2 linked regions of the Arabidopsis thaliana genome follow. The protein of the gene in region 1 interacts with the protein of each later gene in a pairwise test. Each region holds a gene or a part of one and is shown in the gene's direction. Other genes may lie near its edges.

Region 1 (8,628 bases):
ATGCCACATGATTTTGCTTTCACAAGAACAAAGAATCTAGGTGTCCTAATGAATCAAAACATGAAATTTGATTGGTTTTAGTTTTTCTACATATATATGATGTTGGTATATACAAATCATTGATAAATTTTCTAGATATATGATTAGTTAGAAAGTTCAGTTTCATTGGACTTTAGTCTATTCGAAACATTGTATCCTCCATCTTTAATTGGAAGGCGTAGAGAAACTAGAACTCGAATCCGTGTACATGCTTTGCCACAAACTAGTATACAATTTTTTCCCCTATATAAACATACGTGTCTACGTGTGTTTTCATTGTTTATCCCAATGCAAAATCACTCCATGTGTTTCTAATGGTTAGTCGTTGATTTGGTGTACAAGACTATATACATATTATCTAATGAATAATTTTGTCAACGTCATAATTAATCAACCTAATTATGATAAGAAATTACAAAGTAACCAAATTGTAAGAGTTAGTGTTGTTAATTTATCATTCATTAAATTAATAGTTAATTAAATCACTTGCCCTAAACGGAATGGTATTATGTAATTTTAATTTTACCGTTTGATCTTTGTTTGTCAGCATAATTTGATGTTTTGTCCTTATATATATACATGCAAATTTAAATGTTATAACATTCATAAAATAGTGACATATATATATATATATATATTATACATGCAAATTTAAATGTTATAACATTCATAAAATATTGCCACTATTTGGTCAACGTCATAAGTAGCCAAACCTATTTAATTATAATCAACGAACTATACTACCCAATTTGATGAAGAAAAAAAAACTATAGCCCCCAATTTTAAAAGTATAGTGATATACTGCATTAATGATTATTTCTCTATTAATTTATTAGCCTTCCAAACTGTCCATATAAATACTTCTCCATTGTACCTCTTACCTCCATATAACATTCTTCAAGCAAAAACTAATTCCACAAAAGAAAAAAAAAGAACAATGGCAATAAAGAGATCGAGCAAAGCGACGTCGTCTCAAGCAGCATCTATCAAGCAAATAGTAAAGAGATGCTCGAGTCTAAGAAAGATGAAGAACGTAAATGGTTGTTACTATAACCAAGAAGATGATCTTCCTCAAGACGTGCCAAAAGGTCATTTTCCGGTTTACGTGGGACCGAACCGAAGTCGGTACATCGTTCCTATCTCATGGCTCCATCACTCCGAGTTCCAAACATTGCTCCGACTAGCTGAGGAAGAATTTGGGTTTGACCATGATATGGGTCTAACCATTCCTTGTGATGAAGTCTTCTTCAGGTCTCTTATCTCCATGTTTAGATAAAGCCCGATATCGGAGACAGATTATTATTCTTGAAGAAAAGATTTCTTTATTGGAAAGAAAATTTGAAGCCGAGATCAGTAAATCCAAAAACAAGAAACAAACTCATTTTTTAGGGTTGTCTGATTAAGATGCAAGAACATGGCTAAAAAGCTTCGTAGGCATTAACCCGTTTGTGGTTTTTTTCTTTGCTAAATTTATTAGTCATTTTCTCTTTTAAATATTTTGTTGTAGTTGGGGTGGGGTGGGAGACTTTTTCCCTCAAGTCAACGTAAAATGTTGATCGATGATCTTGAGAGGATTAGCTAGTTAACTTCTAAAACTTTATTGGTTAAGATCAATCAAGAATCCTCAATAGTTTTGGTGGTTTGTGCTAACGATGTTTATGTGTTATCATCGTTCGAGTTAAAATCCGCGTAATATATAATGTTGTTTTATAAAAAAAATTAGTACATGAATGGTCCAACAATTCATAACTCACGTTCTTAACCTAATTTGTGACTAAGACTAACTAATCATGTGTAAACAGCTTTCTATTTCTTCGAAAAATTTAGAATTACAAAGACATAGTTTCGTATGACAAAGTATCACGGTGTCCATCATTTGACAAAAGTAATGATAGAAATATTACTTAGCATCTTTATAAAAGTAATACTTTCTCTTTTACTAAGATACAGGTTACGAGATTAATCATAAAACACTCGAGTCATAAAACAATTTGTTTTGTTTTCTTTCAACACAAAAGTTTTGCTATACGTGTATTCAATATTTATTTGTCGGTGTGTCAATCACCGTAATTTGACTCATTTCCTTTTACATGTAGACGTAGCAAGTAGTATTTCAAAAGATTTTATGTGTATATATCAATTATATTGAGTCAGATTTTTGTGATGGATCATTATGGTCCTACCAACCAGAGTCCCTACATATACTTGTATCTGTGCGAATTTATAGTTGTTACCTAAGCTACAAAAAAAATTGAAGAGATCTTCCGTAATATAGATGAACTAATTTGATGTCCCATTATGTTTCTCGTAAAAGAAGAAATACATGTGTATTTGACAAGATGGTACATAGACCGCTAAACCATCATGTCCTAACAAAGTAGATTGGTATCATTTGCAAAATATGTCACTTAACATTAATGTTCTTCATTCCTTAATACCAGTCTACTTGATGAGTCTCTCCTCTTTTTGATGAGCTAGTCTCGCACTTTTTTTCATCTCTAACTTTTGTATTTTATGAAATGTTCATAGACTTTATTCAAGGCACATTACTATCATATATCTGGATTTAAATTGCCATACCGTATTCACGAGACAATTTATATGTAATAACAATTTAAAAAATGCATTGTCTGCTCAGAAGCTAGCTTGCCCATATTGTGTGTTCTTCTAACAATTTTTTATTGTTTCTTCTGAGGGTTTTTGCATTAAATATGTTATTGTTGACATCATAGATGCTAGTGGATATATCATCGACGACGAACTCGAGTTGCTTAATAATTATTTCCAGTTTCATACATCATCATCATATTATAGAACATATACCTTTATCATATGTATCTCAAAAATCTATAATCAGCTTGATATTAACTTATTCTAAAGTTCAAATCAGTTTTAACTTTTAAGAAAATATTATGAGTTTTCTAATTTGATTCGGTTTTCGCCGGGTTAACCTGAAATCGGAATCTGGATTGGACAAAGTACAAACCGTGGGTTAGTATTAGTAACATCCAATTTGGGCTTGCCCGTATTTGTCTGCTCAGAAGCTAGCTTGCCCATATTATGTGTTCTCCAAAGAATTGTTTATTGTTATTTTGGAGAGGGTTTTTGCATTAAATATGTTCTTGTGTTGACATTATTGATTATTAGATGCTAGTGATATACCATCACCAAAATTAGAATTGCATTATCATCATTTTATATATCAATCTATATATTTATCATATGACTCAGACTATCATGAGACGCATTTTTTTTAAGTATTATGAATAATATACCACTTGTTCACGTTTTAACGTTTGAAAAACATGATTTTGCTACTTTTTACGATTCAAAGTATTTATTAAGAATTTACGTTCTTGAAAAGTGATTATACTGTATATATAACTATAAGTAAATAAAACTTTTTTCGACGAAATTTCTGATGATAAATAAAAGGTCGGATATATTTGACTTTTTTTTTTTTTTTAATTATTTTTTGACGATAAATTTTTCGTTGAAAAATCATCGAAATTTTCGACGGATTCCAATGATCAAAAATTCGTCAATAATTTCCAACGATATTCTGACTAAACTAAATCTGATGAAATATTTTTGACGGCTTTCCAACCAAAATATTTCGTTGTGACTTGTCAAAAATCCGTTAGAATACTAAGCAACTTTTCGACAGATTTTCAGCAAAAATATTCGGTAATATAACGTGTTAAAAATATGATAAAAAAAAAAACTTGATGAATCTACTAAAACTAAATTTTCAATCATATATATCTATTATTCATATATTTCATTCATTTTATTATTTTTCTCTTAACAATTATTTAGTTATTCTGGTATCGTGTAATTATATTCATATGATTTATTCTGATATTGATTCGGTTAGCATCCGGATAAATCTGGGTTGGGCTTTTTAACTTGGTTTTTCTAAGAAAAATTCTAATATGATTTGGTTAGCATCCGGATTAGTCTAGTTTGGTAGGCCTGCCTTTGTGATTCTTAACTCGGTCTTTTGTATGGGTTTGAACAATTACTACACCATTTAGATTCTTCTGACCCATATCAAATAAAGATCCACTTAGGCCCATTAGGGTTAGAACAAACATGAGGTTGCAGAATAAAAAGGGTTCATTTTCCTCACTCTCAAGTTGGATCTCAAAACCCTAATATCTGAACTTCGCCGTCGAGAGCATCCATGGGTCGTGTCATCAGAGCTCAACGTAAGGGTGCGGGTTCCGTCTTCAAATCCCACACTCACCACCGCAAAGGTCCGGCTAAGTTCCGTAGCCTCGATTTCGGCGAGAGAAATGGTTACCTCAAGGGCGTCGTGACGGAGATCATCCACGATCCTGGTCGTGGTGCTCCTCTTGCTCGTGTCACTTTCCGTCATCCTTTCCGTTTCAAGAAACAAAAGGAGCTCTTCGTCGCCGCCGAAGGTATGTACACCGGTCAGTTCTTGTACTGCGGTAAGAAAGCTACTCTCGTCGTTGGAAATGTTCTCCCTCTTAGATCTATTCCTGAAGGAGCTGTTGTCTGCAACGTCGAGCATCACGTCGGTGATCGTGGTGTCCTCGCTAGAGCTTCTGGTGATTACGCCATTGTTATCGCTCACAACCCTGACAGCGACACTACTAGGTTTGTTTCTCTTATCCAAAAATCTTCTGAGGCTTATAAACATTTTCAGATCTGTTGATTGTTTGTTGTAGATTATGATGATCTTAATCAGATTAATTAGAAAATGCTTATGTATCATTGGTTATTTAGTGTAGTTTATGATGATGTTAATGGAATCATTTCGTTAATTAGAAATGCTTGTGGTATAGTTGTTGTAGTCTTGTGAATGATGATTTGAGTATATGTTTGCGCAGGATTAAGTTGCCATCGGGTTCGAAGAAGATTGTCCCAAGTGGATGCAGGGCTATGATTGGACAAGTTGCTGGAGGTGGAAGAACTGAGAAGCCGATGCTCAAGGCAGGAAACGCGTACCACAAGTACCGTGTGAAGAGGAACTCATGGCCTAAGGTTCGTGGTGTGGCTATGAATCCAGTGGAGCATCCTCATGGAGGAGGTAACCATCAGCACATTGGTCACGCCAGTACTGTTAGGCGTGATGCACCTCCTGGACAGAAGGTTGGTCTTATTGCTGCAAGGAGGACTGGTCGTCTCAGAGGTCAAGCTGCTGCTTCAGCTGCCAAGGCAGACTAGAGTTAAAAGAGATAAACTTTGTTTCTCTTGTTTTCTATGTTTCAAGTTTTGTTGTCTGTGTTTCCTTTTGAACCTCATTCTGAAATCCTAAAAGATTTTTATGATAAACCTTTCTCTCTTCTCGAAAAGCTTATGTTATTCACATTGCATACTCTCAATACGCAAAGTTTTCATTTTGTACATATGAAAATTATGTAAGAACAACGTAACCAATTCTCGTGATCGTTAAAGTGGTAGTTGAATTGCAGATTTTCATCGAAACAGCAGCCCGCCGCATTGCTATCACAAAGAATCAAGTCTTTGGTGTTAGTCGAATTGAAGCAATCTGAAGTACCTAAAAAAAAATTACAAGGAATCTTAAAAACGAATCTTGCAGCAAACCTTCAAAATGACACAGAGGACTCAAAGACATTTATGTGCGTAATACAAGTCTGATTCTATAGTTGATTAGCTGAGTTTTGGTAATGTGTAATATTTGTGTTTATGTGATTGAGATTTACCTAAATTGTCTTTGTCCATCAATTTTTAGCGTTTGAGACTTTGAGGAATTGGTTTTAGTATCTGATCCAATAGCTAGATTTGTGTTGCTCTTGCTCTATAATTGTCTTCCAGGTTGAATATGGTCCAAGGATAATTGGTTATCGTCGGCTCTTAGATGTATTCTGCTCTAGTCATGATTCTAGACAAGTGTTTGGACAAGGTCCTGATGTGGGTAACCAATACAGGTAAAAGAGCTGTTTGGTTATCTTTGAGTTTGTTTGTTTGGCCCAAATCTATAACATTTGAATATATGTTGAACAGATCCTGTATTTTCACTAACTGTACAGAAGAGTTGAGACTGGCTTCTACCAGCAAAGAAAGGGAGCAACTTAATACAAGAAGCAGTATCGTGACTTCTCTCTTGTCGTTGACTCCTCTCTTCACGAGTCTCATCTCCGACGCTTCTTCTCTTTTCTTCTGTTGCTTTGGTTCTCATCTTCATCACACTTATTGCAAGTTTGATCAAAGGCTCAAAATCCAACAAAATTCACCATTTTAGACACCTTGGGAAGCACGTTAGCCGGAAAACCTTGAAAAACCCACAAGGGTTTTCAATGCGCCTCCTTTGGATAATTGGATCATACATACACCATTATTGGATAATACTCTCTTGAGTCATGAAGATTAACAGAAAACAACATATCATCAATAACACAAGACGGCTCTTGCCTCAGATCACTCAACTTATCTATTTCTCTCCTTGACTTCAAATTAGTTTCCCTGGGTTGGTAAGCATAAGAACAGAACCGTGCTTATCCCTCATGTCAAATTTTCTCTTCCATCACCACATATGTCACAAACTCTCAGTCGCAGAGGTGCGTAGGTTCGGACAGAAGGTCTTATTGCTGCTAGGAGGAGAGGTCAAGCTGCTGCTTCAGCCGCCACTAGGGTTGTTAAACAATAAATAAATTAAAAAAAAACATTTGCTTCTCTTTTATATGTATATATATCCGTTTGGACCTTGTTCTCAAATTGTAAACATTTTTATGATAATCTTTGTCTTCTCTCTCGAAAAGTTTAAAGTATTATTGCAAATTGTAAAAAGTTATCATCGCAAGTTTTGATTATTGTTCTCGACCGAATAATTTTAATATTTAAACGAACCGTATCAAACCGAGTATTTGGTTATATGTTTAAAACGTCTTTAAGTATCAACTAAGTAGAAATATGGTCACCAATTGCTAACTGGTAAAAGCGGTTGAGACTCAGCATGATGAGAGAGTCTCACCACGGTTCGAGTCGCGATATTGGTACCTCGCTCCTACCAAAAGGAATCATGCCTTAATTGTTAGCCGAAATAAAGTAATCTAAATCACTTCTTTTTCAATAATCATGCAGCGAACCCTCTAAATGAATCAGAGGGTCTCAACTCTCAAAGACAGAGTTTAATGGAGGTGGAGCCATGGCGTGACTTTTTGAGCGACTCGACTCAATCGACTACAGGTTGTTCGTTCATATGGAGTTTCGTTCCCTGGTTCGAAACAGCAGCTAGACGAAAACTGTGTAATGGCTATATCACTGAAGAGGAACCGTTTCTTCATTCCTTATACGAATCTCGTCTTCTTCTTCTTCTTGTGTGTCTCTCTGCTCGATAAAACTGTATCCATCAGGATTTCGAATCAGATCTCGGATACTGTCGTTGATTCTCCCGATCGTCCTTTGAAATCTGCGGTTTTCGCTCTTGGAAGCTTCTGGAGATCGGAGGCGGCGTTTGGTTGTATCAATGGCGTCGTACGAACCTCCGCCGGTTACGCCGGTGGAACGAAGACGAATCCGGAGTATAGGAACTTAGGTGATCACGCCGAGTCCGTACAGGTTGGTTTTATTGTTTCAATTTTGAGGATTGAGCCAATGTTTACTTCGTTTATTCGATGTTTAGCTGATATGATTTGATTTGATCAGTGCCTATGTTGTTCGATTTGATTTGCTCTACTTAACAGATTTCGTTTGGATAATAAAATTGGAGAATGCTTTATGTGAATATCATCATTCATTAGCTGATTAGGTTGTTTTGTTGAAATTTGGTTATGTGTGATCTTAGTGTATATGTGATTGTCTGATTGAAGTTAAACTAAATTGTCTTTGTTCATCTGACTTAGTGTTTGAGGAGCTTAAAGATTTGTGTTGCTCTTGCTCTGTAATTGTCTTCAGGTTGAATATGATCCAAGGATAATTGGTTATCGTCAGCTCTTAGATGTATTTTGGTCTAGTCATGATTCTAGACAAGTGTTTGGACAAGGTCCTGATGTGGGTAATCAATACAGGTAAAAGAGCAAGTAAATAGCTGATGCTTATCTTTGAGTTTGTTTGTTTGGACCAAATCTAAAACATGGGAATCTTTTTGAACAGATCCTGTATTTTCACTAATTCTACAGAAGAATTGAGACTGGCTTCTACCAGCAAAGAAAGGGAGCAACTTAATACAAGAAGCAGTATCGTGACCACTCAAATTCAACAGCTAGGAACGTTTTATCGCGCAGAGCCTGATCACCAGGTTCAGCTTTAAGTCTCTCTGCATCTTCCATTCATATCACGGCTGTTTATTAGAGGATAAACGATTAAGAAAATCAATCTTCTCTTGAATTTCTGTATTTGCAGAAGTTCGAGCTGAAACAACATCCATTTCTTATTCAGCTAATTGGAAACATGGTAGAAGAAGAGCTTGAGAGATCAGCTCTAGCCACAAAACTAAACGGTTACGCAGCCGAGCTCTGCCCGCCTAGAATCCAGAAACATATCGACTCTAGAGTTAATGAGATCATTAGAAAAGGTTGGCCCGTCTTGAGAGACATCTAATATATAAGCCTTGTGAGATCTTCGCGTTCTTGGATTTGATTGCTTAGTCTCAGATGT
Region 2 (9,902 bases), on another chromosome or scaffold:
AAATATTACCTGAAGAGTATTACTTAGGCAAGAGACTCATGGAGTTAAAAGACACTGGACTGGAGTGGGCAAAACGAGCTAGAAAGGTACATAACCAACACACGTTTTCTCAGTTGATCGCGTAAAGTCTCTATGGAATGTTTAATGAAAACGAGAGCTATTGGTTTTATCTGCAGGTGGTAACAGACTCAGGTGCTCTTGCCTTGGAAGATGTTTTCGAGCTTATTTCTGAGGGTGAAAACTTACCTGTTCATGCAGAGCAGGAACTTCAGGTTAATATGAAATGAATGTTAGCAAAGCTTAACACATAACCTTACTGTTATCTAAAACTGTTTGTATCATGGTAAATTGATGCAGTCTTTACGAGCTCGGAGTATGTTACACTGCATTTGTCTAAAGCCATACAACTCAAGATCCATGGTTTCTTGTAGTCAATGTGGCGAATGGTATCACACCTATTGTTTAAAGCTTCATTGGCGGCCTAAGGCTTATGTCTGCTCCGCTTGCTGTCCACTGGCAGAAACCACTCCACAGATCGATCCCGCCAGGTTTGTTCCTTTGCAATAAAAGCTTACTCTAAACCACATTGCTACACACTTGTATTCACATCGATCTTAGATTTTTAAAAGCATACTTTCTTGAAACCTCTATACTTTTGCTTCACTCATTAGTTTAGGTCACAATCAAAAGCTACTGATTGTGTGGTTTCTGTTAGGCTTAGTGGCTTGAACCGAGAATGTTTACAGATTCGTTAAGATACTCTACACTTCCTCCCATTTTTCTGAACCCATTTGTTTGATTGATATCTATTAACAGAGCAACAGAGCCAGAGAGACCGTCTCTGAACCAAAGACGGACAAGAATGGTCGCGACTGATGCAGCAGTTAATGACTTAAAGTGGAAAACCCGAAAACACATCAAACGGACAACTAAACGGAGTCCTCAGGTTCATATTCTTCCCTGGTTTTTCACTTAAAAACCAACATAATAATCTCTTGAGGGTATGATATATAGAGCAATTTCATTTATTCAATTTTAGATGAGTTTTCTCAAACCTTTTTGTAATGTTTCCCATTGGAAAATGGACAAGTTCACATTAAAAAGGTTTTGGACTTAATAATTTGCCAGATTTTTGGATCTTTTTTTTTTTTGAACTGGATCAGTGGATCTATAACTAGAATTTGATGATTATGTAATATAAGAAATTCTAATCACAACTATGTATAGAGGAGATATTAGCTTAGATCTTAGATTTAAAGCTTGTTTCATTCTTTGATGTTTTATTCAAGTTTAACACATTTACCATTGAAATTTGTATTCTTATTCAATTATAGATTTATAGTATGTATTTGTTGATATCTCTCACTTTTTAAACTCAACAAACTCTACCAAAATCAAACTACCAGCAGCTATTAGAATTTTGAACTATTGTTGGACCACCAATGTGTGAAGAGAATCATATCTCTTAATCCCCACAAATTCATGAGAAGGAAAATAAAAAAGCAACAGTTGAGATCACTTTCCTTACAAGAATCAGAAAGAGACCCACTTTTGATGACATCATGTTTCAGAGACCCACAATCATATCTCTCTATATATGTATGTATCATAATGTGTGTATATGTGTTGTGAAGTAATAAGTAAGGGACTTTCATAGAAACAGAGCCTTATTGTACCTTTTGAGACACCATCCTCAAGCTGAAAGCTTCCTTCAACACTCTTCTTCCATTTTTGAAAATCTATCTAGTACATTTATTGTGAATTTCACACTGTCCATATCTTGTTTATTTATTAAAGTTATTAATGTTACATGTAGATGAAATGGACTGATTTGTGTATGTTTATAGCTATTTATGTAAGAAGAACAAGTAAAATATTGTATAAGTTCAGTAATGGTCGGCCTCAAATTTTTCCTATCATGAAATTTCTAAGTAAAAAAAGACAAGTCACATTACTTTAGGTAAAAAGTTGGCAAAACAAAAAGTGAAAGAAGGAAAGTCAAAACTCTTTATTTTATTGTCAAAAGTCAAATGTGTGCAAATGTAATATTGTTGACATTAAACAAAACAAATTAATGTAAAGATTATTCATAATGGAGTAGCAAAACAAATCTAATTAAACCCAAAATATATAATATATGATATATCTCTAGAAAACTTTTATTTATATCTAGCACCAAATTTTGACTATTTGGATTTTTTGGTCGGGTACTTTAGCCACCGGATATTAAATGCATCATACAAACTTTCAAATTAGGTGGAAACAAAATATATGTACGTATATATATATATATATATATTAATAAATCACTTTCAAAACTTTTAAAAGAAAATAAAAAAAAAGAATTTTAGATAAAAAGTAAAAGAGAAAAAGGGGAATATAAAAATGGAAAACAAATAAAGTTAGGAGAGAGGGCTCACTGTCCGAAGCAAAGAAAGAAATAGCAAAGTGAGTTAGACATGTGAGAGAGAAGAGATTCAAGTGTGTCCCCATTCTCTTTCCTATCCTTTAGTCAACAACACATCTCTCTCATATTTGGATATTTCTAATCAAGATCAAACTTTTTACAACAAGATTTGATTTTTTTTGTTCTTTTAAAATCTTAATTTGAATTAAGATGATATGAAGTCATTTCATACTAGTCTTGCCTCTTGTCAAAGTGTAACTGAATGAAATTTCAAGATTATATATTTATAAGAAAACCTAAAATTTTTAGATATATTTTGAAATAATCTTATAATTATCTATACTAATTAAAAATAAATTATAAATATATTATAGAGCAGTTGACCAAAAAAAATTACAGATAACTATTGAAGATATATAGACATGATTAGTTGAGGTGTAGAAAGTTTGTAAAGCCACTAAAATAGCTCCAAAATTGAAATAATCATGTTGTAGTTTTTTCTTTTTTCTAGCAAGAATAATATATTTTTGATTATTTTAAAAGGTTTGTACATTTTTCTCTTTTTATTTTCACTTTATTTTTTTAGTTTCTTTAGAAACATTATTATACTTTTCATATATATATATTGAATTTATCTTCAAATTTTGCATACATATTTTACCCACTAAACATGATTCCATATAAAAACGGAAAAAGTGTGTCACAGAAGAAATAATATATTACATGATATAATAATCTAAAATGTCAACTGTTTTCTTTAGAATATGTTAGAAAAGATTTTTTTTTTAAATCTTTATTGGTAGCAATGTTTATGAGAATAAAGCACATAATTGTCTCTCAATGACTAATAAATTTCGGTTTCAGTCAAAGATCTAACGAGATATTAGATTTGTAATAATCATCAAAGAAAGTCTATCCTTTTTATTAAAAACAAATATTCTTAAACAAACTAATACTTTAAATAAACTATTCTTAAACAAACTAATACATTAAATATTCTTAAACAAACTAATACATTAAATATTCTTAAACAAATATTCTTAAACAAACTATGCTTAAATCTTTCATAATAATCTTTCTCTCAATTGAATTTATCTTTCACAAAATTAAATAACAAATCAATTAAAGAGATATATAAATACGAAAAACAATGGTCGTCACTCTCGTTCAGCTTCTTTAGTTTTCTTCTAACTTTCAGAGAAAGACCTCTCTCAATTCAAAAGTTCACAATATTAAAAGTATAAATCAGAATCATTAAACTGTTAGTCTCTCTCTCTCTCTCTCTCTCTCTCTCTCTCTCTCTCTCTCTCTCTCTCTCTCTCTCTCTCTCTCTCTCTTTTTCTCTTCTTCTCCCTGAATTGTCTCATCTGTCTTCTTCCTTTGTCTCTCCTCTGATATACATTGTGTTCTCCTTCTCAGAAACCCTAGATTTCTCTCAATCAAATCTAGCTTTTCTCTTAGGGGGAGATTTGATTTTTTTCTCTGCAAGACTGTAACAGTAGGAGAAGCTACTTTCCTCTGTTTTCTTAATTTCAAATCTGCAATCGTACTTTTTCGAGTTCTATAAGTGAACTCAGATTTTAGCTTTTTTTTTTTAGGGTTCATAAGAACAAATTGGATTTTGAGCTCACAGTATAAATAACCCGACTTTGATTACTGGGTAATTTTAAAACCGCCATTGTTGTTCTCTTTACTACTTTTGGGAATTAGGGTTTATGATTTCTGGGTATTAGATTAGATAAATTTGTTTCCTTTTTTTGTTAATCAATTTAAAAATCTCTTATTTCTGTTAAAGACTTGTAATTTTGGAGTTTTTAATGCATGGACGGAAGAGAAGCAATGGCATTTCCAGGCTCGCATTCTCAGTACTATCTTCAAAGAGGAGCCTTTACTAATCTCGCACCTTCCCAAGTCGCGAGTGGGCTTCACGCGCCGCCGCCACATACGGGATTGAGGCCAATGTCTAACCCTAACATTCATCACCCTCAGGCTAACAATCCAGGACCTCCTTTCTCGGATTTTGGACACACCATTCACATGGGAGTGGTCTCCTCTGCTTCTGATGCTGATGTGCAACCGCCACCGCCACCGCCACCACCAGAGGAACCGATGGTTAAGAGGAAACGTGGACGGCCAAGAAAGTATGGAGAACCGATGGTTAGTAATAAGTCTAGGGACTCTTCTCCAATGTCTGATCCTAATGAACCTAAACGGGCCAGAGGTCGACCTCCTGGAACTGGAAGGAAGCAACGCTTGGCTAATCTTGGTGAGATCTCGAGTTTTCTATTCTGTGTACTTTGTCAAGTTAAGTTTTTGCTTTAGCTCTGTTAGCTAGTCTTGAAGGACATGAGCTTGAATCTTATGGATGCTAGAAGCTTTGAATGATTCTATAGTTAAGTTAGGTTTTGTTACTTTGTCGTTACTGATACTCAATATTGATTGTTGGCTATTAGTTTGACGGATCTATGTGTGGTACAATGCTAGGTGAGAGGAGTAATTGGTTATTAGTAGATGTGGACGAAATCGACTTCTTGATTTAAGTTATTGATTTAGGTTTTTAAGCTGTGAAAGAGTAATCTTACTAATCCATTCATGTTTAAGTAATTGGTCATCATAATGTGATTAATCAAACTTTAAGTAATAGCAAACTCTTGACTCTGATAATTTCTTTAGGTGAGTGGATGAATACTTCAGCTGGACTTGCTTTTGCACCTCATGTGATCAGCATTGGAGCAGGAGAAGTAAACTGACCAAAACTCCTTTATATATTAATGATCATTTATGCAGCTTTTCATTGTATCAATTTCCTTTTATTTTTCTTTGCAGGACATTGCTGCGAAAGTTTTGTCATTTTCACAACAAAGACCTCGGGCTCTTTGTATAATGTCAGGCACTGGAACCATTTCTTCAGTCACTCTGTGCAAACCCGGTTCAACCGATCGTCACTTAACATACGAGGTTTCAAAGTCGTTCATTCAGTTAATCGAAAAAGAAAAACCTGAAAAGATTTCTTATTTAATCCTCTTTCTGTGTTTCTTAGGGACCTTTTGAGATTATAAGTTTTGGTGGATCTTATTTGGTGAATGAAGAAGGTGGATCCAGAAGTCGAACAGGCGGATTGAGTGTCTCTCTTTCTCGTCCCGATGGTAGTATTATTGCCGGTGGAGTTGACATGCTTATCGCAGCCAACCTTGTTCAGGTATATTAAATTCTTCTTCTTAATGGTTGTAAAGTGAAGCTAAAACGAGGCGAAACTAACTACGAATGTTAGCCTTTGATATGTTTGTGCTGTCACTTTCTTTCCTCTTCAAGATATCATGTGGTAGTGTTTGAAAAACTTGTTTGTTATTCAGGTGGTGGCATGTAGTTTTGTATACGGAGCAAGGGCAAAGACTCATAATAACAATAACAAGACCATCAGACAAGAAAAGGAACCAAATGAAGAGGACAACAATAGTGAAATGGAGACCACACCGGGTAGTGCAGCTGAACCAGCAGCATCTGCGGGTCAGCAGACGCCACAGAACTTCTCTTCTCAGGGAATAAGGGGGTGGCCCGGTTCAGGCTCAGGCTCTGGCAGATCACTTGACATTTGCAGAAACCCACTCACTGATTTTGATTTGACTCGTGGATGATATACACTATTAGTCTTTGAAGCAGCAGCATACAAAATGTGATTGCTGTACATATGTTATTGTAGATTTCTCTCTGGGAATGTTGAAATCAGACATTTAAGGATTGATACTAGATCTCTCAGCTCCTTCTAACATTGTTAATGTAACAGAACCCTCCCACTTTCATGCTATTTTAGGAGATTTTTTTAACTCTTTTATGATCTCATTGTGGTCATCAAGAACTTGGTTTCTTTACTAGTTCACTATTTTTCTTTCAGGTTCTTTAACATATTTAGTAAACTTGATTCCTCTTATTTGGTAGACAATGTGTAATTCAACACACACAAGATTTAGGATCCTTAATTTATAGGAAGATGACAAGCTCATAATTTATACATGAAAAGCATTAAATATTAATGAATATATATCCTCAAATTGACTTAAATTTCTTTTTCAGTCAGAAATCTAATGAGACATTAGATTTTGTTATAAACCATTGAAGAAAGTCTATATCCTTTTTAATAAAAAAAATTCTTAAACAACCCAATTTATTTTTTTTGTAAACCAATTGAATATTTTTTTTTGACAAAATTAATTAAAGAAATAGTATATAAATAGAAACAATGGTCTTCACTTCCTTTCTCTTCTTTTTTTTTCTTTCCTTTTTTTTTTCTGAGATTTGCTTTCTCTACCAGAGAGACTGTAACAGTAGTAGTAGCTACTTTTGCTTGTTGTCTTCATTTCAAATCTGCAATTTTACTTTCTTTTTGAGTTCTAAGTGAACTCAACATTTAGCTTCTTTTTCTTTTCTAGGTTTCATAAAAACAGTTTGGATCTTAAGCTCACAGCTGAAAATAACCCGACTTTGATTACTGGGTATATAAAAGCCGCCATTGTTGTTCTTTTCACTCTTTGGGTTATTAGGGTTTACGATTTCTGGGTGGTAGATAAATTTGTTCTTCAAAAAAGTTTCCTTTTTTAAAAAATCTCTTAGATTCTTAAAGAATTGTAATTTAGGGTTTTAAATGCATGGATGGGAGAGAAGCTATGGCATTTCCAGGCTCGCATTCTCAGTTCTATCTTCAGAGAGGAGTTTTTACCAATCTTACACCTTCCCAGGTCGCGAGTGGTCTTCACGCGCCGCCGCCACCTCCGGGAATGAGGCCAATGTCAAACCCTAACATTCACCACCCTCAGGCTAGCAATCCAGGACCTCCTTTCTCCATGGCTGAGCACAGGCATTCTGATTTCGGACACAGCATTCACATGGGGATGGCTTCTCCTGCTGCGGTGCAGCCTACTCTGCAGCTGCCGCCTCCACCGTCGGAGCAACCGATGGTTAAGAAGAAACGTGGAAGGCCAAGAAAGTATGTTCCTGATGGACAAGTTTCATTGGGGCTTTCTCCAATGCCTTGTGTTAGTAAAAAGTCTAAGGACTCTTCTTCAATGTCTGATCCTAATGCACCTAAAAGAGCCAGAGGTCGACCTCCCGGAACTGGAAGGAAGCAACGCTTGGCTAATCTTGGTGAGATCTCAAGTTTTTTCTGTGTACTTGATTAAGTTAAGTTGTTGTTTTAGCTCTGTTGGCTAACCCTTGAAGGATCTTATGATTAGATGAAAGTTTGAATGGTAGAAGCTATGTATGATTCTATGGTTATTTTAGGTTTTTGTTGCTTTAGCCTTACTGTTACTGTTACTCAACATTGATTGTTAGGTATTAAATTGACTGATCCATGTGTGGGTACAATGCCAGTTGAGATGAGTAATTGGTCATTAGAATGTGGTAGTCAACTCGATATTTGACTTCTTGATTTATGGACACAATTTGTAAGCTTTGGCACAACTTTCTTCTATGTACATTGTGAAGAACACGAGCTGGGGTCTTATGATTAGGTAGATTTTGGTTGCTAGAAGCTTAATGATTTTATGGTCAAATTAGTATTGATTTGGCTCTGTTGTTACTGCTACTCAACATCGGTTGTTAGGTATTAACTATGAGAGTAATTTGACTGATCCATTTGTGTTGAGATAAGTAAATGGTCATTTAACTCTGTTAATTACCTTAGGTGAGTGGATGAATACATCAGCTGGACTTGCTTTTGCACCTCATGTGATCAGTGTTGGATCAGGAGAAGTAATCTCTAAAAACTCCTATCAATCTTAATGAGTTATGCAGCTTTTCATTGTTTCAATTTCCTTTTATTTTTCTTGCAGGATATTGTTTCGAAAGTTTTGTCTTTTTCACAAAAAAGACCTCGGGCTCTTTGTATAATGTCAGGCACTGGAACGGTTTCTTCAGTCACTCTGCGTGAACCCGCTTCAACAACGCCTTCCTTAACATTTGAGGTTTCAAAATCGTTCATTCAGTTAATCCAAAAAAGAACCAAACCGTGGAGAACTAAAGATTCTTTATCCCTTCTTTGTGTTCTTTAGGGACGTTTTGAGATTCTAAGTTTAGGTGGATCTTATCTGGTGAATGAAGAAGGTGGATCCAAAAGTCGAACAGGCGGTTTGAGTGTCTCTCTTTCTGGTCCTGAAGGTCATGTTATCGGCGGTGGAATTGGAATGCTTATCGCAGCCAGCCTCGTTCAGGTATTTCAAAATTGGTTTGGCTCCATTAAGTTTTGTTTTGGTTGTAATTGTTTGGTATAACATTTGTGCTACCTGGAATACAAAAGTTCAAAATACGGTTCTGGTACGGTTTGAGAAATTTTGTTTGGATTTGTTTATATGTAATGTGACTCTTAAACTAAATTTTTTTGTTGGTTGTTATTTTGAAGGTGGTGGCTTGTAGTTTCGTGTACGGAGCAAGTGCAAAGTCTAATAATAACAATAACAAGACCATCAAACAAGAAATAAAACCTAAGCAAGAGCCGACCAATAGCGAAATGGAGACCACACCTGGTAGTGCACCAGAAGCTGCAGCATCGACGGGTCAGCATACGCCACAGAACTTCCCAGCTCAGGGAATGAGCGGATGGCCCGTTTCAGGCTCAGGCTCAGGCAGATCACTTGACTCTAGCAGAAACCCACTCACTGATATTGACTTGACTCGCGGGTGATTCAAAACAAAAACATTATTAGTCTTTCTTCCTATTTACTCCGACTACTACCCTTTAGTCTTGGAAGCAGCAGCAGCAGCATACATTATGTGAGTGCTGTACATATCTTTGTTGTTGTAGATTTCTCTCTGGGAATGTTAAAACCAGACATTTCAGGATTGAGACCAGAACTCTCAGTTCCTTATTGTAACATTCTCAATGTAACAGAACCACCCCACTTTCAGGCTACTCAACGAGATTGTAACTCTTTTATATCACTCATTAAAGCTTCCTTTGGTTTCTTCAATATCTGTGTTCAATTCGGTTTTGGTTTTGAGTGTTTGGTTTTAGAAATGAAGTAATCTATCCAAGTTGATCAGCCTGAGATAATAATGCTGGTTTATCTAAATAACCGATTTGGCTCTCAAACAGAACTAATCAATCCAAGTCAATGTCATGGCTCTTTATTGAATGAGAGAGGTTCATAATCAAATACAATACGATTCAGCAACAAAGCTTCATCATTCAGGAGATATTCAGAAGATTCTTTATGTCATGCTGCAGAAAAATTGAGACAAGAAAGTTAGCAGAGATAGTGTCTGAGAGAGAGTGAATGAGAGATAGTTGCTTTACCTCAAGTGTAAGAGGGGAAGTAGTTGGATAATAACGTTGTACAGCTTGACCGTTTTTGTCAACAAGAAACTTAGCAAAGTTCCATTGAATGTCATCGCCGAAGATTCCCCATTTGCCTTTCTTCAGGAACTTATACAGAGGAGAAGCATTCTCTCCGTTTACTTCAATCTAATACAAAATTGGACATATACGAATGTTTTAAGAACT

Evidence for each region.
Region 2: the proteins of EMB2296 (region 1) and AT1G63480 interact in a two-hybrid assay, tested with the Arabidopsis thaliana proteins (one large-scale study listed by BioGRID).

The regions. Positions count from the first base shown.
Region 1 is NC_003071.7:7,832,926-7,841,553, forward strand, and holds EMB2296 (Ribosomal protein L2 family), read left to right. Parts: upstream 1-4,141; 5' UTR 4,142-4,225; coding exon 4,226-4,665; intron 4,666-4,898; coding exon 4,899-5,235; 3' UTR 5,236-5,551; downstream 5,552-8,628. Other genes in the region: AT2G18010 (SAUR-like auxin-responsive protein family), read left to right, coding at 977-1,315; AT2G18025 (uncharacterized protein), read left to right, coding at 5,891-5,960, 6,037-6,071; MSRA5 (Peptide methionine sulfoxide reductase family protein), read left to right, coding at 7,282-7,590, 7,927-8,039, 8,125-8,269, 8,374-8,571.
Region 2 is NC_003070.9:23,536,012-23,545,913, reverse strand, and holds AT1G63480 (AT hook motif DNA-binding family protein), read left to right. Parts: upstream 1-3,680; 5' UTR 3,681-4,228; coding exon 4,229-4,673; intron 4,674-5,080; coding exon 5,081-5,148; intron 5,149-5,233; coding exon 5,234-5,365; intron 5,366-5,447; coding exon 5,448-5,606; intron 5,607-5,760; coding exon 5,761-6,042; 3' UTR 6,043-6,357; downstream 6,358-9,902. Other genes in the region: AT1G63490 (transcription factor jumonji (jmjC) domain-containing protein), read left to right, coding at 1-86, 177-272, 358-548, 817-976; AT1G63470 (AT hook motif DNA-binding family protein), read left to right, coding at 7,051-7,546, 8,088-8,155, 8,236-8,367, 8,455-8,613, 8,802-9,083; GPX8 (glutathione peroxidase 8), read right to left, coding at 9,588-9,620, 9,696-9,863. UniProt on the Arabidopsis thaliana protein: Transcription factor that specifically binds AT-rich DNA sequences related to the nuclear matrix attachment regions (MARs).